Lonchura striata: one gene and its partner. The protein of the gene in region 1 interacts with the protein of each later gene in a pairwise test. Links are inferred from orthologs where the notes say so. Each region holds a gene or a part of one and is shown on either strand. Other genes may lie near its edges.

Evidence for each region.
Region 2: the proteins of TFIP11 (region 1) and OIP5 interact in binary tests that used the Homo sapiens proteins (3 or more experiments, as listed by UniProt). The two-hybrid records come from large-scale screens. The link is inferred for Lonchura striata from reciprocal best matches to the Homo sapiens genes TFIP11 and OIP5.

Annotation. Positions count from the first base shown.
Region 1 is NC_134620.1:10,621,013-10,631,868, forward strand, and holds the start of TFIP11 (tuftelin-interacting protein 11), read left to right. Parts: upstream 1-6,234; 5' UTR 6,235-6,359; coding exon 6,360-6,556; intron 6,557-7,051; coding exon 7,052-7,205; intron 7,206-7,856; coding exon 7,857-8,013; intron 8,014-8,508; coding exon 8,509-8,636; intron 8,637-9,062; coding exon 9,063-9,215; intron 9,216-9,915; coding exon 9,916-10,425; intron 10,426-10,856. Other genes in the region: TPST2 (protein-tyrosine sulfotransferase 2), read left to right, coding at 1,111-1,946, 3,380-3,578, 4,273-4,323, 4,438-4,467. UniProt on the Homo sapiens protein: Involved in pre-mRNA splicing, specifically in spliceosome disassembly during late-stage splicing events. Intron turnover seems to proceed through reactions in two lariat-intron associated complexes termed Intron Large (IL) and Intron Small (IS).
Region 2 is NC_134608.1:37,491,135-37,501,126, forward strand, and holds OIP5 (protein Mis18-beta), read left to right. Parts: upstream 1-5,131; 5' UTR 5,132-5,164; coding exon 5,165-5,480; intron 5,481-5,603; coding exon 5,604-5,670; intron 5,671-6,644; coding exon 6,645-6,767; intron 6,768-7,265; coding exon 7,266-7,347; intron 7,348-8,609; coding exon 8,610-8,684; 3' UTR 8,685-9,935; downstream 9,936-9,992. Other genes in the region: NUSAP1 (nucleolar and spindle-associated protein 1), read right to left, coding at 1,097-1,271, 2,292-2,471, 3,521-3,586, 4,702-4,794. UniProt on the Homo sapiens protein: Required for recruitment of CENPA to centromeres and normal chromosome segregation during mitosis.

The DNA.
Region 1 (10,856 bases):
GAAGCAGGAAAGCTGCCCAGCTCCAGGCTCTCTCCTGCCTGCTCCCTGCTCCGCATTGGGCTGCTGCACAATGTGTTCCTTCGTGGAGGGGAGAAAGCACTTTTCTGGAGCAGCTCTTTGGCCTGTCAGCAAAACAGAATCCATGGACGGCCCGTTCCTTCCACTCCATTCAGCTCCTGCCCCAGCCACATAATCACAAAGAACTGGAAATCCCGGGGTGAGCCCAGGGGAGGATTGCAAAACCTGCACTCGCAACTGGGGCGGATGGGGGGGAGGGGGTGGGAAGCGGTGCCAGCATTCCCGGGAGTCCCTCCGGGCACGCAGCTGAGCTGGGCACTTGCAGAAGCTGCAGCCTGCCTGCTGGATGTCCTGCCGAGCCGTGGAAAACCCCAAAAAGTCTCGGTGCCAGATGAAGTGTCACGGATTTCTCCGTCAGGTCAGTTTGCGAGGCAGGGCAGGGTGGTGAACGCTGCGTGTGGCTGTTCACTCTCAGGTGGTTGAATTTCTCAGCGTTTCCTTCTAACGGTTTCTCCTGATTCAGACCCTTAAAGCTGGCATGAGAGGCTTTTGTTTTTCTCTTATTTCAGCTTTCCCCTCTCCTGTGACCACAGGGTTAAACTAAACAAAATGTAGGGAGGATGCAGGTGGCTGAGAGGTGAGCGGTGCTGGAGTGCTGACTTGGGTTTGGGAGGAAAAACCTCATCTTGGGTCTGGGCTTCATCTGGGATGGAACAGGCTCTGTAAAGATTTTGTTTTAAGGATTCCCTGAGTATACAGGGCTCCTCCTCTCCAAAACGTTCCTGGAGCTTTGCTCCAGCTGTAACCTGTGTTTCTGGGAGCACAAACAGTGCAGAAATTCTCTCTTTGGGTGTGCACTGAGACAGACTTTAATTACCTGCTGGGTGTAGGGCACCAAGCCTGGGAGGTGCTGATAAGTGAAGGAGGTGCTGATAAGTGAAGGAGGTGATGAAATCTGGGATGGTGTCAGCATCCCATCAGAGCAGGGCTGGCCCCGCTGCTCTGACAGTGCTGTTCTCTTGCAGATGCCCGTGAGGTTGGACACTCGCTAGCGGAGAGCTGAAGCCCCCAGCCTGTGCCCAGGAGAGCAGGATGCGGGTCACCACGCGCAGGGTGCTGCTGCTGGTGGGCTCGGTGGCGGCCCTGATGGTGACCCTGCACCTCGGGCAGCAGGTCCTGGAGTGCCAGCAGGTCCTGAGCGAGAGGAGGCACAGGCTGATGAGGCCAGAGAACGAGGAGCTGGTGATGGTGGACGCCAACCACGTGGAGTACCGGTACAGCAAGGACATGCCCCTGATCTTCATCGGCGGCGTCCCCCGCAGCGGCACCACGCTGATGAGGGCCATGCTGGACGCCCACCCCGAGGTGCGCTGCGGGGAGGAGACCCGCATCATCCCCCGCGTGCTGGCCATGCGCCAGGCCTGGTCCAAGTCCGGCCGCGAGAAGATGCGGCTGGACGAGGCGGGGGTGACGGACCAGGTGCTGGACGCGGCCATGCAGGCCTTCATCCTGGAAGTGATCGCCAAGCACGGCGAGCCCGCCAGGTACCTGTGCAACAAGGACCCCTTCACGCTCAAGTCCTCGGTGTACCTGTCCCGGCTGTTCCCCAACTCCAAGTTCCTGCTGATGGTGCGGGACGGGCGCGCCTCGGTGCACTCCATGATCACGCGCAAGGTGACGATTGCCGGCTTTGACCTGAACAGCTACCGGGACTGCCTGACCAAGTGGAACAAGGCCATCGAGGTGATGTATTCCCAGTGCCTGGAGATCGGCCGCGCCCGCTGCCTGCCTGTCTACTACGAGCAGCTGGTGCTGCACCCCGAGCAGTCCATGCACAACATCATGAGGTTCCTGGACATCTCCTGGAGCGACACGGTGCTGCACCACGAGGAGCTCATCGGGAAGCCTGGTGGGGTGTCCCTTTCCAAGTGAGTCTTGGCTCCTTCCTCAGCTTTTTGAGGAGTTTTCACTGCACAAAGCAGGCTAAAACTGGGGACAGAGCTGCGTTGCTGGTGTTTGCGTGTGGTTTTAGGGCAGGAGGGACAGCACGTTGTACTGCAGTGGCGTTTGTGTTCCCAAGTAAGAGATGGCTTTAATGCTCCCAATCTGTTGTACTCCACAGAACAGCTTGTCAAGCAAGGATTTCAGGAGCAGGTGACTGTTTAATCTCTCTTGACACTGCAGAAATTATTTCAGTCTCTAATTTGCAAAGAACTGCTTACTCTGAAACGTGAGCTCTTTAATGCCTCTTTCTCCACCCGTCCTCAGATGCATCTTTGGTGTGATTAGTTGTGCTGCCAATGATGATGAGCTATAGTTCTTTCCAGGTCTGGGGTTGGTATTGCAGAATAAAAGCAATACCTGCTCAGTGGAGGCACACCCAGCAGTCTCTCCTGCCCTCTCCATGTGTGGGGGGTGTTTGCCTTCTCCCACTTTCTTTTCTTCTTTTAATGCTGTTTCTTTTCTAAATGGAGGCTTAAGTCAGGCTTAGCAAAATTTAATCAGCTGTGTAAAGGAATTATCCAAGTCTCTGTATCAGTTGCTGGTGCCCTCATGTTGAGGGCACAGGAGCCACGGGGGATGTGCAGCTGCTCCAGTTTTCTGGGATGCCCTGGGAGTGCAGCCAGCTCTACTTCCCTGTTTGCTCAGAGTAAATTGGTCCAGGTTGCTTAGATCAGGTTTTGAATATTCATAGGGGTCACTAATCTGTGCTACAGCCCACACATCTTACATTGTTTTCCTCTGATAAGGAGAGGTGTCCTGGTGAAACCCCCTGTCCCAGTGCAGGATGGATCCCTCCTGTAGGAAAAGAGAAGCACCCTCAAGTTGTGCCAGAGGAGGTTTAGGTTGGATCAAAAGGAAAATTCCTTCCCTGAAAGAGTAATTAAGCATTGGAACAGAGCAGTGGTAGAGTCACCATCCCTGAAGGAATTTAAAAGCTGTGTAGATGTGGCAGCTGGGGACATGGGTCAGTGGTTGGTAGCCTCAGCAGTCTTGGGGGAATGTTTGGACTCACTCTCTTAGAGGAATTTTCCAGCCTTAATGATTCCATGATGCTAAACAGGAGGACCCAGCCTCTGGGGTTGTGGAACCCCCTGCCAGGGTCTGCTTCCCCAGAGCAGGGCTGTGAGGGATGGAAGCTACCCCATCCAGGGAAGTGCCCAACGCCAGGTGGGACAGGATTTGGAACAATCTGGGATAGTGGAAAGTGTCTGTGCCCATGGCAGGGAGTGGGATGGGATGGGATTTAAGGTCCTGTCCTGTGGTTCTGTGTGGAGGTGGCAGCGAGCTGTGTGTGAGCCCAGCACACGCATGAAATCCAACCACTGTGTCTTTTGTTTTCGTCCTTTATTTTCCCCAGGATAGAGAGGTCAACAGACCAGGTGATCAAGCCGGTGAACATGGAGGCGTTATCCAAATGGATCGGGCACATCCCCGAGGATGTGCTGCAGGACATGGCCCACATCGCCCCCATGCTCGCCAGGCTCGGCTACGACCCCTACGCCAACCCCCCCAACTACGGCCACCCCGACCCGCTGGTTGTCAACAACACGCACAGGGTGAGTGGCACTGCCATGGAGGGGACAGGCCAGGGGCTCACAGAGCCCTCGGAGCAAGGGAAGCTCCTGAACCAGATCGGGATGGAGCAGGGGGGAAACAGGCTCACACAGGGAAAACAGAATCACAGAATTCCAGAGTCATTCAGGATGGGAAAGGTCTCCCAGGACCATCGAGTTCAACTTGTGCCCGATCCCCACCTTGTCACCAGCCCAGAGCACTGAGTGGCACATGGAACACATTTCTTGGACACCTCCAGGGATGGGGATTCCAAACCCCTCTGAGCAGCCCCTTCCAAAGCCTGACCACCCTTTCCATGAGGAAATTCCCCCTGGCACAGTTTGATGCAGTTTCCTCTCTCCTGTCCCTGTTCCCTGGGAGCATGACCCCACCACAGTTGTCCCCTCCTGTCAGGAGCTGTGCACAGCCAGAAGGTCCCTCCTGAGCCTCCTTTTCTCCAGGCTGAGCCCCTTTTCCAGCTCCCTCAGCTGCTCCTGGTACTCCAGCCCCTTCCCCAGTTCTGTTCCCTTCTCTGGATGTGCTCCAGCCCCTCCATATCTGTTTTGGAGAGGGGCCCAGCAGGACAGAGCACTCAAGGTGCAGCCTTTCCCCTGGCAAGGCTGGGAATGGCTGACAGCAGTGACCCAGAGGTGATTCCACTGCCCCAGGGAGTCACTCCAGGTTCTCTTTCCACAGGTTTTAAAGGGGGATTATAAAACACCGGCCAATCTCAAAGGTCACCTGCAGGTAAGAGCCAGGTGTACCCTGAGGGTTTGGGACACACCAGGGTACCCGTTCCCTGCTCCCTTCCCTGAGGAATGCTGGCTCAAAGCTGACCCTTCTCTTCTGGGGCTCTTCCAGGTGACTCAGAACACGTCATCTTCTCACTAAGAAAATTAATGATTTCCAGGTAAGACCCTATTTACTTAATTTTGGGGGATTTGGGCAAATCCTGCATTGCTCCAGGACCAGCACTTGGTTTGTGTGATTTCTGTGGATCTGCTGGGGTTCCAGGCACACTCCTGGTGCCAGGGATCCTTCACAGTCGCCTCCGATCTTCCCACACAATGCTGCTGTGTGGGACCATTTGTAAGGAATTCTTTTCCTGAGCTCTGGGAAGGGGATTAAAGCTGCAAAATGAAACTCAGCTGCCTGGGAGGGTTATTGCAGCCCATCCCTGCGGGTAGCAGGGACACATGGAATGCGTGGATGAGCTGGGCTGCTCCCCAGCTGCCTCCAAAGACGTGCCATGGACCTGAGGAAGGGGATAGAAAACAAAGGGAAACATGATGGAAAACAAAGCTGCTGCCTTGGGCTGCTGTTCCAGAGACAACTGTTGATGTGTTGGATGTTCTTCCTCCATGCTAAAGCATAAAATACCATTCTTGGTACTAAAACTAATCCTTTAAGAGCAAGTTTCTGTCTACAAGCATATGGGCTAGAAAAAGATCAGAAGCACTGAGGGAAGATCAGGAATTGTGTATCCCCCTTGTACTGAGCTGAGAATTGGTTCCTTTCTGGCCATTTTTTGTGTCATCTTTAAACCCTCAGTCAGGCGTTGCTGTGCTAGTCTGAGGGAATCCTGCTCCTGAGGGGATCCTGACCCTGAGGGAATCCTGCCCATGAGGAGATTTTGCTACTTAGGGGCTCCTTAGGGAATCCTGTCCCTGAGAAGATCCTGCTTCTGAAGGGATCCTGTTCCTTAGGGGATCCTGGCCCTGAGGGAATCCTGCTCCTGAGAGAATCCTTCTCCCAAGGGGATCCTGGCCCTGAGGGAATCCTGGCCCTCACAGGATCCTGCTCCTGAGGGAATCCTGCTCCTGAGGGAATCCTGGCCCTCACAGGATCCTGCTCCTGCGGGAATCCTGGCCCTCACAGGATCCTGCTCCTGAGGGGATCCTCCTCCTGAGGGGATCCTGGCTCTGAGGGGATCCTGCTCCTGAAGAAGTCCTGCTCCTGAGGTTCTGTGTTTTGTCTCTTCCAGAACGCTGCCAACAGCCTGTTGTTGCCCGAGAAGGAAGAGCGTGCAGTGGGCCCGTGGAAATCTGTTCTCCAAGCATATTGCTTGCTCCTACTGTTGCCAAATGACTGCGCTCCAGGAATGTATTTGCATTTATTTGCAAAGGCCAAACGTGCTCCACGGCGGGAACGTCCCCGGCCGGTCGCAGCGCTCCGTGGGGAATGCAGCTGTGGAAAGCCGGGGGGACGGGAGGAGATTCCCGTGCCGTGCCTGGAGGATTCTGTACATGGCGTGTGTGTGTGTCTCGTGATCCTGTTCCCGGTGTGGGAGGAACAGCCCTCCCATCCCTGCTGTTCCGTATTCCTGGGATCGGGAAGAGCCACCCTGGTCCTACTGTTTCCAATTCCCAGGGTCAGGAACAGCCCCCCTGGCCCTGCAGAGCCTTTGTGGTGCGTGTGCCCTCCCCCCCCACCGCCTCCCTGACCCTGCAGAGGCTATTGCAGAGTTAATATATGCCCCCCACCCCACCCCTGGTGTCGAACACCATTAAAGCGTTGATTTGATATTTAATATTTTAATTATTAATCGCGCGGGCTCCTCCCCCTCTACTCCCCACAAGGCGGTGCCACCTGCGCGGCCGCGCCGACTCGATGGTTTGGGGGCGGGGCTCGCGCGCGTGCCGGCGACCGGAAGTGAAGGCGGCGCATCCGGTGTGGCGGCGCGGCCGGGGCCGGGCTCCATGAGGGGGCCGGGGTCCCGGGTCAGGAGTTCCTGAGGGGCCGGGGATCCCTGAGCGGGCCGGGGACATCCCGGCGGTGCCGCGATGTCGATGTCGCACCTGTACGGCACGGACGGAGACGATGGCGTGGAGATGGAGAGCTTCGAGGTGTCGGACTGGGACCTGCAGAACGAATTCAACCCGCACCGGCAGCGACACCGCCAGACCAAGGAGGAGGCGACCTACGGCGTGTGGGCCGAGCGAGACTCGGACGAGGAGCGGCCCAGCTTCGGCGGGAAGCGGTGCGGCCGGGCTGCGACCCCCGGGCCGCTCAGGGACCCCAGGAGCTGCCCCGTTCCCTGGAGCTTCCTCCCCCATTCCCTGGAGCTTCTCCCGCATTCCCTGGAACTCCCTCCCCGTTCCCTGGAGCTCCCCCCCCCATTCCCTGGAGCTCCCTCCCTGTTCCCTGGAACTCCCTCCCCGTTCCCTGGAGCTTCCCCCCCATTCCCTGGAGCTCCCCCCCCATTCCCTGGAGCTTCCCCCCGCCCGTTCCCTGGAGCTTTTCCCCCCATTCCCTGCGTCTTTCCCAGCTGTGGACATCGCCGGCTGGGCTGCCCCTCTCACCTGTAGGGATTTTCCCTGTGCTCTCCCTGCAGCACGCAGAGGAGGATGGGGATTGCCTGGCAAAGCAGGGTTAAGCAGCTCGGCAGCCTTTAATATCCCATTTTTGGGAGGTGTGAGGCACAGCAGCTCCCAGCCTCCTGCAGGAATGAGCAGAATTCCCTCTTGTTTGGCAGCTCCAGGGATTACTCAGCCCCCGTGAGCTTTGTGAGCGCTGGGCTGAGGAAGGGGGCGGCCGAGGAGCTCTCGGATGAGGACTCGGATGAGGATGAGAAACCTGTGAAGCAGGAGGAGATTCCCAAGGAGTTTGTGCCCAAGAAGTTGAAAACAGTGAGTTCTCCAGGAAATTTGCTGTTCTCTGTTTTAGGTTTGTGAAACTCAGGCTGTGGTCGAGGGCAGCGAGATGTAATAGAGCACTAAAAAAAGGGAGGAATAATTAAGCCAGAGACCCAAATGTGTCAGGGAAGTGTTTGCTTGGGATTTTGTATCATTGATACAAATACATTGATAAAAATCAGGATAATAAATCATTGGTACAACTGTACATTGGTATAACTGTGTGTCCTTGGGGATCAGTCCTCTCATTTTTTTCAATATTCGTTTTGGTCCATGGAGGTTTAAAGAAGAGAATTCCTGTGATTTCCTGTCTTTCAGACACTTTATTTTTCTACTTTCACAGAATTAACAAATCCAGGCATGTTATAGAGTAAAACTCAAACTCTTCAGTTAAAACCAGAAAGAATCAGGAATCAGCTTCAGCTAAATCTGGTGGTGGAACCTGAGAACTGTCAGGTTGTCAGCCAGAGTTTTTTCAGGGTTTTCCTTTCCCATCTGAGGAATTTCAGGAATCTCCAGTGGTGCTTCACGGATGCACAAGCATGGTTCCAGCATGGGGAGGAAGAACCTTCTGAGGGGAGTTTTGCACATTTTGGTTATTTGAAGCCCCAGGGCTGCAGGTTTTTACGTGTTTGTTTTTGACAGGGTGGAAATTTCAAGCCCAGCCAGAAAGGCTTCGTAGGGGGCTCCAAGTCCTTCGTGGATTTTGGCAGCTGGGAGAGACACACTAAAGGAATTGGGCAGAAGCTCCTCCAGAAGATGGGATATGTCCCTGGCAGGGGTCTGGGGAAGAATGCTCAAGGTATTGTCAATGTGTTTGGTGGTTTATTATTATTAACTGGGGGTTCTGGGGAGAGGTTGGATTCCTTAAAGAGCTGCCATCTGGCTTAAACTTCCTTCTTGTTTTCCTGCCAGTGATCTGGGCCTTGTGGTGAGATTCAGGGGTGTTCAAACTAACCTGTGCTCGTTTGCTCCTCTGGGTATTGTACAAGAGAAAAGGAGCAAGAAAAAAGGCAGTAAATTCCAAAGGTGGTCATCCCACAGGGAAGGAGATGCTGTTTTAATGTGGCAGAATAAAAAGGCAGTGAAATGTGGTTGGGAGTAAGGCTGTGCTTTGGCAGTTTGGTGTGTGCTGGGATGAAGTGATTTTATAGGGAATTGGTGATGTTGGAAGTACCACGGTGCTGGAGGCAGTGCCAGGGAGGGTGTTGGTGCTGATCTGGTAACTCATAGGGAAAGCCTGGCTGTTCTCCCAGCACACAAACTGCTCCTGCTGACCCCATTCCCATCCTGCCAGGAATCATCAATCCCATCGAGGCCAAGCAGAGGAAAGGCAAAGGTGCTGTGGGTGCTTACGGCTCCGAGAGGACCCCACAGTCCTTGCAGGACTTCCCTGTGGTGGACTCAGAAGAGGAAACTGAGGAGGTATTCCTGGGGCTCTTGCTGTTTCCCTGCTATGCTGTATGTACAGAATTCAGTTTTCTTGATTTCTGTGTGTCAGAGAAAACTGGGCTCATTTTAGACAAGCCAAACACAGCATGTCGATTTTGTTCAGGCTGATCTTCCTTGTTGCTGTAATGTTCTTTGTTGTTTCTGTCTCACTCTATTTCTTTAGTTTTGCTAGAATCCCTCCTTTGAAGAGTCCCCTACATAAATAGGCTTTGTCTTCATTTAATCCACATGGTGGGTGACTGGCCCACAGCATCCAAGCTGGTTTTACATGAGCTTCTCCACTTCCCAGTTATTTCCTATACATATTCCTCATGGATCTGATGGTTATTTTCCTGTGAAAAGAGGCAGAATTGGGGTGTGACAAAGAGCAGCTACCACAACTCTGTTGTTTTTGTCCAGGAATTTCAGAAGGAGCTCAGCCAGTGGCGGAAGGACCCAAATGGAGGCAAGAAAAAGCCCAAGTACAGCTACAAGACAGTGGAAGAGCTGAAAGCCAAGGGCAGGATCAGCAAGCAGCTTGCAGCCCCTCAGAAGGAGCTGTCCCAGGTCAAGGTGAGGTTGATAAGCCAAGAGGTGACCCGTGGAGGAACAGTTTGGGCTCTTTGGTGTCACCAGCACATTTTAGGCACCAGTAAGCTCAGTAAAGCCAGTCCTAGGAATTCCTGTGCAGCCTCATGGAGCTCATCCCTGAGCCATGTAATAGCTCTGTGTCATCTGGACGTGGTGACAAGTTTAATTAAATGTGTGTGTAGGGGGTTAATTGCAATAAGTTTAATTATTTCACATTTGTCATAATCAACACTCACCCACTTCTGACAGCACAGTTGTCCTTTTAGGGATTGTTTGATCTTCTACCTCAAAGGGACAGTAAGGGCTTTGTGACAGTAAGGGCTTTGCCTGGTGTGCATTCAATAAAATTATGAAACTGAAATTAAAGTATCTTTATTAAATTATAAAAGTTCTAAGTGCAGCAACTAATGGCAAGATTACTGCTTGTAGAATCATTCACTGAAACTGGGATGAGATGAGGAGATGCTTCTTCTGGCTCTGATTCCAGATTGTCTCTTACTTTTTGTAACTCCTATATCTGATTGTGGAGGCAATCCCCTTGTTCAAATACAGTGTATGTTAGAAGCCTCCTGGAGTAATTAAGGTCCTTGAAAATCTCCAGATTTCAATTTGGAGCCAGGGATTTTCTTTTTTTTTGAAGCTGAGAGGTTTTTGTTAGAGAATTTGTTCTGTGTGCTGGCAGGTGATCGACATGACGGGCCGGGAGCAGAAGGTTTATTACAGCTACAGCCAGATCAGCCACAAGCACAACATCCCAGATGACAGCCCCCAGCAGCCCCTGGGCAAGGACTCCAAGCCCCAGGGCTTTGCTCTGCCCGAGCTGGAGCACAACCTGCAGCTGCTCATCGACATCACGGAGCAGGAGATCATCCAGAGCGACCGGCAGCTGCAGTACGAGAGGGACATGGTGGTCAACCTCAGCCACGAGATCCAGAAGATGGCTGAGGTGCTGTCCCACGAGGAGAAGGCCATCAGCAACCTCAGCAAGGTGCTGGACATGGTGGAGGAGTGTGAGAGGCGGATGCAGCCGGGCTGTGAGAACCCTCTGACCCTGGATGAGTGTGCAAAGATCTTTGAGACTCTGCAGGACAAGTACTATGAGGAGTACAGGATGTCAGACAGGGTCGACCTGGCAGTGGCCATAGTTTATCCTCTCATGAAGGAATACTTCAAGAACTGGGATCCCCTCAAGGTGTGTGCTGGTTTGAGTTATCTGCAGTTCTCACTTGATGGCTCCAGTAATCTTTGTTACTTTGTCCCAAGTGTCCTGGTCTAGTGGGAGGTGGCCCTGCCCATGGTAGGGGGTGGAATGAGATGAGCTTTAAGGTCCCTTCCAACCAGTCTGGGATTCTAAACTCCTGATCAGTGTGGAGAAAAAGAAGAGACAAAATTAAACTCTCTACTGTCCCCAATCTCAGGCATTTTCCGGGTAAAAATTTAGGGGTTTGTAAGGTTAAAACCAATCTCTTCTCTGAGTGTTGGGATGAAAAATGTGGTGAAAAAAATCTCTAGCTGTTGGTTTTTTTTTTTTTAGCAAAAGCAGGAGAGGTTTGTCTGTCAAGTATCAGAGATGCACAGTCTGTTCTCAGTACCATTTAGGCTGGGATAGAGTCTGGATCTCTG
Region 2 (9,992 bases), on another chromosome or scaffold:
ATTTTATTAAGAAAAAAATGAGGTAGCAACTTTACATCAAGTTCAGCATTTGCATATCAACAGCAAACACTTGTATTTCTGGTTATTCACATCTCCTCAAAAGTAAACTTAGATGATCTCAATATATTGAGAGAAATCCTTATTGGAAACAAATAATGGCATGCAGTTAAAAAACCAATTTGTTGATACTAAATCCAGACACTTGTTACTAGAGCTATAGGAAGAGATGAGCACTGTAGCAACTGTCAGGATGAGTGATGCCCCCAAGCATCCCCCACATAACCTATTGCTTTTGTTTTTAAGAACAACCTTCATAGAAAAACCCACATTTTTGAGTTAGTTCAAAATTATTGGTGGTCTCCCATAAGATTGTCCTTGTAAATCGTAATGAACAATGAGAATATCCATAATAAACTTACAGACTACACACACTGAGCCTAACAGAGCAAATGCAGAAGTGTATCTTAATTGACAGACCCCCTCAATATCAAGAAATTATCAAATTAGGTAAACAAATTAATTTCCTCGTGTCAGCTGCATACACAAAGGGGGATAAATTAATTCATGTTTTCAGTGGCATCATGTTTGAAGGACTAAAAACACCACCAGATGGAAAAAGTGATCCAGTGGAACACATTCAAATACTCTTGGGTATCTCAAACAAATGATAAATGATTCTATGCTTTCTGCTAATTTTACTCCTGGAAAGTAAAATATAAAAGTGTTCACCTTTAGATAAAGATAAATGAACCATAAGGAAGCAACTCCTCCCTTTCTTGCCACCTCTTAGAGGCCAAACAACACCTCAAGGATATTCCAAACGGCACTGATCCTTTTGGAAGTGTAAAACTCAAATACACTCAGATCTCTGAGAATGTCACTAAAAACAAGAGTTCTGAAGTCAAAGTCAGCAAAATTCCTACACTGCAGAATTTGTGGATTTGTGTTACAATGTTAAACAAGTTGCATAAACTCAAACCAGATGAATTTTATTCTGGTATCCCCAAAACAAGGTAATGATCAACAGATGTGCCACAATAAAACTATTTTTTGACTATTCTAAATGAAAGTTACTTTTATCCAATTTTCTACTTACGTTGTTCTCCCCTGCCTTTAGTAGAAGTCTTCTCCGTTTGTTTCTTCTGTCCAGCATCCATCCCTGGATTCTCAATAGCTCTCTCTTCAGTTATTTGGATTTTGTTTTGTGATACCTTTTGTCCCTTTTTGTGCTCACCCTGAGGCACTTCATTTTCTTTAGTTTCAGAATGCATCTGCAATTTAAACATACTTTGTTTAACCAGTTTGTTTCAACTGGATATAAAGAAAGGCTGTTGTTCTGAGAACAGAGACTCAGTGGAACAGATTGCCCAGAGAGGTGCACAGCCTTCATCCTCAAGGCTTTTCAGCATCAGGCTGGACACTGGGCTCTAACCTCATGTCTGAGACTACTTTGGCTGGGAGATTGAGCAAGAGATTTTCTCAAGTCCAAACTGAATTAACCTGTGAAATACTTACCCTGTTACTTCACAAACTTAGATACATTAGAAAGCTTTGATCTGCATAGCTCTCAAATTTTAGTATAAAATTGCCTTTATGGATTAAAGTTAATTATTTGCAAGTAAGATTAAATTCACTGGGGATGTTGCTTTTTACTGTTGTATTTCTGCATACTGTACAATTCTCTAACACTAAAATACTACCACTCCTCATTTTCTCATTTCCTTCCTCTGCCTCAGTTGAAGTCTTTCAGACAGTTCTTAATTTACCTACTCCTTGTAACTCAAAAAAAATTCAACCTCTATCATACCTTGTAACTTTCTCCCTAAGTCACACAACCCTCACAATAAAAGTTACGAGGTTTAGACAATGGTGCAACTTCTGATATTTTTTTCTGTATCAAAAAAGAGATAACAGCCTTATTTTAGATAAATTCTGAAACTAGTCTAAGATTCAGAATATTGCAATTAACTAGTGAAATTAGTTTTACACTCAGATAAAGTGTTTGGAATTGTATATTTCTTAGGGGAATTTATTTTCTTGAAGCAATGACTACCAAGTAATGTCTGTTTATTATGGGATAGCACATAAATAGACAAAAGTCAGTACTACAAAATACAAAATACAAGTACCAGAATGCTGGCATATCAATTTTTGTACACATCTATATACACACAAACACACATATCTAAACACATACCATCTATAAATGGTGATTGAAAAGAAATCAAGTGTGCTTAAATTATGCTCAGAGGAAGGGAGGACAGCACACAAAAGCATGCAAAGCAAATCACCTGTTTCTCATCAGAAAGCACTGGGTTTTCTTCACTGCTATTAGTTTCCTCATGAGAGGTCCTCTTTTTTTTGTCCTTACCACGTCTTTTTGTAATAAAACACACTGAATCAGACATAATTTCCTCCTGATTGCTTAGTTCATCTGACTTAATGGAAGAAGATGCACTCTTTACAGGACCCTGTAGCAGAAAAAAAACTATAACTGGAAGATATCCAACACAAATACAAATTAAATACTCCAGGGACAGTTTCAATTTTATTATTTAAAAAAGTATTTTACACAGAGGATAAACAGTAGCATGCCATGTAGCAGAATAATAATCAAGAAACTGGCACTATCCAGATTCCCCTAAGCATTAAAGCTCATTGTTTGGAGACTTTAAATACAATTGAAATGATTGGTTTATCATATTTCATTTTAATAAGACTATAAAAGCCTAATATTTTTTATTTGAAATCTAACTTGCATGATGCCATGACCCTCCCATATTTGTACATTTGTGGAATACTGTTCACCAGTAAAAACAGGGCTCCTTTCCTGCTCGTGAAAATTTTTAAAAAGCTGACAAGGTTTACACCAGTTCCTCAAATCTTTAAAGATTTTTAAGGGATGCACTTAAAGGCAGATGCATTTTAGAAAAAGCAGATAGCAAACTACTTTAATCAAAAATATTGCCACACTCAACAAAATAATTAATCTTACAGAAAACGTTAAAGAAGTTAGGAAAACAACACATTAAGAGACAAATAAAGGACGTAGCACAACTGTATTGCTTTAATTATAAATGGAAGTAAATTGTCGTAGATGCAAAATGCTTTCCAATTAGTACCTAGTCCCCTTCATTTAGGCATGCAAAATTAATAAAATATTTTTATATTTAGTATAGAATAGTGTCTGTAGCCAAACAAGCAAGAATTAAGGTTTGTTCAGTGGAAATTATGTTATTGTTCACAGAGAATAGGCTTGTATTGATGCTGAAAAATATTGTTAATTTTGGCAGCTGAAAAGAAATAAGATTTAAGTCATATAGGCCACTTCAAAACTAACATTAGCATATCAATTTCTATCAGTATGTAAGTACTTTAACCTAAGGGCACTAAGAAGAAAAAGGTATTTCTATTACAGTTCCAATTGTGGTCAAAATCACCCTTCAGCATATACTCTGCTCTATGAGTTACATATTAAGGATTACATTTCTTAAAAGCAACAGCTGATTTATTATGTTACCATTTTTTCACTTTCTTCTTTTGTCCTTTCAAAGTGTTGCTTCAATGATTCCAGTAATTTGTCTGCCTGAAGAGAAATCAAAACACATGAACCAAACAGTCCATTGAGTCACTGAAGAGCTGCATAAGCCCAGCCCGCATCCTATAAAGTGATCCAACAAACCAGCAGAACATTTCCTGAATCCAAGAGAATGAGGTCTACCTAGGACTCGTTCAAGTCAGTCAGTTAGAGAAAGTGCCTAAGGCCACAGATAAACATGTAGATATCCTCCACCGAGGCACAAAGGCAATTTTCCATGCCTAGGTTTCTCCTGCTCTATTTTCCAGGGGGTTAATATTCAAGGAAGGAGATAAACTGTTTTAAGCCCCATAGCGCAGCTGAACTTGAATTAAAATTGTGTCAAATTTCTGCAATTGCTTCTGTCTTGCCCCGTGCTACGTGCAAAACATTCTTTTCATCCCTGTCACGCATTCAACAGTGATAGTAACAAAACAACAATGAAAACACACCACTGATAAGCCAGGCTATGAAAGACTCTTGAACACCTAAGTGGAAAGGTCAGCACAAAAACAAACAAAGTACCCCAGAACTACCATTCCCAGAAAAACTCTTGGTCTGTGAGGACAGGGAGCTGCCTTGTCCACCCAAGCCGTGGATCCTTCTTTTAAGGCTTTACGAGCTGTGCCATTGCTGCCAGGAGGAGCCCGGCCGTGCCTCACAAGCACCTGCAGCTCCTGGCAGGAGCCTGGGGCATCCTTAAACTTCTCACCCCTTAACCGCGCCCGCCAAACGCATCTCCTCCCTTAAGGTACTCTCTTGTCACTCTTCCTCCCACTCCGAGTCGTAAGGGAAAAAAACAAACCAAACCAACCAAACAAACACAACTATCCGCACTGGCGGCGGACAGCGCGGGGTCACCGGCGTGGGGAACAGCCGGGCCAGCAGAGAAGGGAGCGGCCTCCCCTTCTCGATGCCCGGGGGACACCGGAGCCCCGCTCTCTCCCCACACTGAGTGCTTGCCCGCCTCCCGGACGGCAGCACAGCCCCGGGGCGCCCCGGCGCCGCTCCAGACGCGGGAGGTGCGCCCGGCGAGGCTGGGGACGTCACGCTACCGGGCACGGGGGCACCCCAGAACCCGGAGCTTCGTGGGCAGCGCTGCCTCGCAGCTGCCCCCGCCTCACCCGCAGGTTGGCCCTCAGCCCGGCGGCCTTGGCGATGCGCTGGAGCTCGGCGTATTTCAGCGCCTCCAGGGGCTGCAGCGAAGCGAGCGCCATGACAGCAGCTCCGACCGACCCGCCTGCCCGCCGCGCGCCAACCGACACCGCTCGCGCCGCCCCCGCCGTTCGAACTGGCCCGCTGCGCCAGCCCATTGGCTGGGCCGCCGAAGGGGCGTGGCCGAAGGGGGCGGAGCGAGGGAGCCGCCAATGGCGGCGCGGCCCGCCGCGCGTGCTTATTTTCAAGCGCGATGAGGCGTTCCCGGCAAAGAAAGTCGCGCGCGGTGCAGCCCGCTGCCCAATAGCCGCGGGCGGCGCGGATTGACGCTCCTTCTGTCCAATGGCAATACAGAGGTGCGCACCACGCTCCAATCACGATGCTTACGATGCTTGGGGGCGGGCCCCGCGCCCGAGCGCTTGGCGGGAGGAGATGGCGGTGCGGCAGCGGCTGCGACAGCTGTTCCAGGACCCGCAGACCGTCGGGGCCATTGTGCTGGAGCGGGCGCCCGCCCTTGCCTCTACCGCCTGCGTCTCGCTGTCGGCGCCCCGGACGCCGCCCCGGCCGCCGCCCCTGTCGCCGTCTTCCGTGCCGCCGGCCGAGGTGCCGGCGTCGCCGCCGCGGCAGCAGGGTCCGCTGCCGGAGGAGTGCGCCGTGTTCCACTGCCGCGGCTGCTGGACAGTGCTGGGAGACTCGCTGCAGCTGTGCGGGCAAGAGCCGCCGGGGCTTAGCGTCCTCATCTGCTTCAGTCAGTGCCTCCTCCGCGCCGGCTGGTGCTGAGGACGCGCCGCTGCCCCGCGCGGACCTCGGGGCGGGCAGCGGGGCTTGGTCCGGGGGCTCTCTGCTGCAGCGCGTCTCTCTTTCTCCTCAGGAGTCACCAATGATGTGACCTGGGAAGAGTCGCTGTTGGTCGGCCTCGAGGGAGCCCTCCTGGGATGGTGCGTAGCTCCCGTAGTTCCGGCAGCGGACCTGCCCGAGTGGCCGCCGCGGTGAATCGTGCGCACGAAGCCGGGAGCTCTCCGGCCTGTGCGCGGGGATGCTCAGGAGTTTGGCAAGTCACTGCCAGTGACTTCTGTGCCTGTTTCACACCTCGGATGGAGATACTTTTTGTAGGGATGTAGTTCTCACTTGAAATCGAGATTTTTGCTGCTATAACCTCTGTAGGTGGAGAGAAACATTCGAGCAATGCAGTAGAATACAGCTTAACTTGTAGGTCCCTTTCTTCTCTTCCCTCAAAGGTCTCTTGCTTAAAGCATCTCTGGGTTTTGTTTGGTTTGGTGGGTTTTTGGTTGCTTTGGTTTGGTTTTGCGGGGAGGGGTGGCTATTGGTTGGTCGGTTTTTCTTAATACTGAAAATAAAAAACTTGTGCTGCCCCATTCAGGAACCTATCTTTTGCAAGGTTTGGTAACTCAGTCTAACGGGAAGAATGTAAAATGTCATCTAGGGGCTTACAGAACCAGTAGCTTGTTTAAATGATTTTTAAAAGCTGTTTTATAAACTGTCAGAACTGGGAACTGCTTCAATATAAGACTTGCTCTTTTTTTGACTTTTTTCCTTGCCCCTCTCTCTGCATGGGGTAATGATATATTTTATTAGAATTTTCAACTGGTGCATCCATTATTTTATTATTTAAATTATGTTTGAGTAGAATATGTAAATCATTCTGTGATAATAAGATGTGCATTTTCTTCCTTAACAGCAACTTCACTTATTTGAGAGATTGCTTCTTTCACAACATGCCCAATTTCTTATGGTCATACTACTTTGTACATATTACTTTTCTGAAGAGGATGCGTTATTATGCCTTGGATTTTTTCCCAATGGAACTGAAGATTTTATGCTCTCTGACAAATATGCAATATCTGTGGTTTCAAAAGCTTCTGTTTAAAAACACTTCCCTTTCTCCTTTTAGTACTTATTATTTATTATTCTGTCGATCTTGTGGCTCGGCTGTGGGCTTCATTCTTTACTCTTCTGGCAGTGACCTGGTGTATCTCCGGGACTTGTTCTGTTTCTTCAAGGACAGCATCATGTGGTGAGTACACTGCATTCCATGGTCAGTGACTTCACAGGTAGTTTCAAGTCACTGTACAACTAGCCTACAGCTAACAAAAGTGGTTTAACTTCTGTCTGAGCACATTGGTGTGGGATATTAATATTCTTGATGACTAAATTGTGTTGATGTGAATCCCTTTGATTTCCTTGCACCTCTTGAGTGTCCTTGTGCAATGCAAGACTTCATACTTCGTTGTGTGCAATGCTGAAATCTCTTCAGTTCCAGATTCATTTAGCTAATGTAAGGTATCAAAGTGATTATTTGATTGGTTGAGAACTTGACTGCAGAAGCTGTAAATTACTGAGAGGATCTTGATTCCAAAGTAAAACCATTGCTGTATTTTGAATATTTTCATAATTATTACTTTTGGCAACAACCTTGTATCTGATTTAAAATAATTTTAAATCATCTGTCTAAATAGTGCAACTACAGGTTTTGTAACTGTGTTTTTTTTCCCTTTCCCGTTTTGTTTTCCAGTTATCTCTTAAAAAATCAAATGATTGTAGAAGCTTCTAAGGTCAATTTTCCAGCTGTGACCTTAAAGGAAAACATGCAGAAAGTAAGATTTCCACAATAATGGAAAATACTTTTAAAATACTGATAATTTTGGACATTAATTCAAAAACATTGATACAAATGTGGGGGTTTTAAGTGCTTAGGACTGAGAAACTGCTGCCTTATATGACAATAACTGACTCAATGCATGAGACATGAACATTTTCTAAGACCCCTAAACTGCATAACATACCCAGTTCTAGTTAAATTTTGGCAAAAGTTTGTTATCCTTTTATCTTTATACCTTGCAAAGAAAAAAAACCCAAAAATAATTTATACAGACTTGGCCTAAGCATTACAACTTGTGTTGTCATTGTTGAAGAATTTAAAATCAGAATTTTTTTAATATGAAAGGGATTTTTTTAAAGAGATATTTTTATGTCTGTGCAAGCTCAAAACAGCATGGCAGTATTTGTTGTTTCAGAGAGAACTCTAGGACCTCCCTCCTGTTTTGGTGTTCAAATTGGATGTTCTTATCTGTAACTTGACTAGTTTGTTAGTTAATTGCCTGTGCCTTAGCTCAAATAAAGTTATTGTGTGTAGGAGACAGCCAGCATATCATATTTATGTGATAATTTGTTCATTACTTTTTTTGGGTTTCAGTTTGGATTTTAGTTTCTCTTGTAATGGACCTTTTACATTTCTTTAATTTTGTCCTCTTCCAGTTTCTGTAAGATCAGACTGTTTTTACAGGTCAAGTGAGGCTAAGATACAAAAATCCTATCCAGCTAAAACTTCTGAAGTTGACACATGATTTAGTAATAGTAAATGGCTGAAGTAAAAATATGACAGCACTTCATTGCAAACACAAATTATGTGACTGTAGAGACTTTGCTTATTGACTAGAACAAGCTCAAGCATCTGGCCTTTGCTTTTTGAGACATAATGTCCACATGCATTCCTAAGCTAATGATAAAACAGTTTGTCTACATATTGTCATAGGTTTCTGGCTGTGTGAAAATTTGAGTTAACTAGAAAAGATCCAGTTCATCATAGTAAAACTGCAGCAACTCCATCTTCCATTATGCCCCTGGAAGGACTGATACTGGCACACATTGATCCATCTCTAGTTTGTAGTGTAGCCTTCTGATCTGGGTGCTGGTTTTGTCAGTACTAAACATGCAATATAGAGATCAAGCCCCTCTATACTTTCCCATCTTGAAAATGAGCTGCTCTTTAGCCACTTAAAAGTGGGGTGCAGGTCATTCAAAGGTCCAGTGTTAGGACTTTTTTTGCTAATTTTAATACTCTTCTCTTTTTTCCTAGGTGAAAGAAAAGCTTGTGGACTTGAGTGCTCGCATAGAATTAGTAACAGAACATCTGGATAAAATAACAAAATAATTATGTAAAAGAACGGCAGAACTCTTCAACAGATCAACTGATACACATTTTCAAGAACTGTTGGAAATGTTTCTGCATCTCTGCTGTGTTTGGTCATTACCAAGAAATATTGCACCAGAGTAATTGATCTGTTACTTTATCTGTGTGTGGAACAAACTGATGATGAAGTGCATCCCTTCAGGAACACCTGAGAATCTGACATACTGAAATTATGCTTGGAAGACTGAATAGTTCACCCATGCAGCATGTTACTCTTTGAAGCTGTGTAAATGTGACTTTAGTTTTGTAGTGACTTCAGGGTGAAAACTAGCCTTTGAAATACTGAAGTCAGGTTTCTGGAGCTGTGCAAAACATACTTGGCAAGGTGGAGATATTCAAGAGCAACCATTACAAACTGAACATTCTTAGAGACCTAGAGCTCTTGTCCCACCATTTAATAGACACATTGTTAATGGCAGTCTTGGTTTTAATGGCAGCTAGTTTTTGGTCAAGTGCTCATTAGCTACAACTGATATGTAAGCCACTGCTAAATGGACTCCTGAATAGTTTTGAGATTTGCTAGTGTGTGTTGCCTGCAAAAGCAGCAGACGAGCACATCACAGATGCTGCAGTGTTCTTAGAGCATGAGTCTGGATGGCACCATGGAGGAAGAACACAAGGTTTTGAATTTAAGGTAATGGGCAACCCACGTGCCAGCAAAGTCAGTCCCAGGAACAGGACTGAGTCAAATTCTGCCAGCTAAGGCTGTGAGCAACTGCCTTGAACAGATTTGAGCATTTCTTTCTGGAACGTTAACTATGAAACCAAGGGACATTCTTCTGCACAATTGTGGAAGCACTGCTTTCCAGAAGTTATGAATGGCCCGTCACCTTCAATTGGCCAATTAGGATGTTTCATAAAAAATACCTACTCATGGCTCATTGGCATCTATCTCTGTTGGAAATTGGTTCTGCTTATTTCCAAACATTTAGGAAATATTTTTACAGAAAAGAAAGCACTTACCCGTTGTTACTGGGACCAAATATCCCTTATTCTTTTTTTGGAAGATTAAGGTCACTTTTCCTCTCCTTTTTGCTGCCTAAAGGGCTAATGTTTTTCCCTAAAGGGAAAATGAACTTTATGGAAAGTTTAATAGTTGCCTGTAGTAGTCTAGAGAGGATTCTGTTTACTTGATCAGCTTAATTCCAGTGATGCAAATTGCCTTCTGCTTCCATATATATGACCAACAGGTTGCAGACCTCATTGCTGCCGCTGCCAGTTTTGTTTTGTCTTATTTGTAAAATAACTCATAATGGGCTTGGAGCAGAG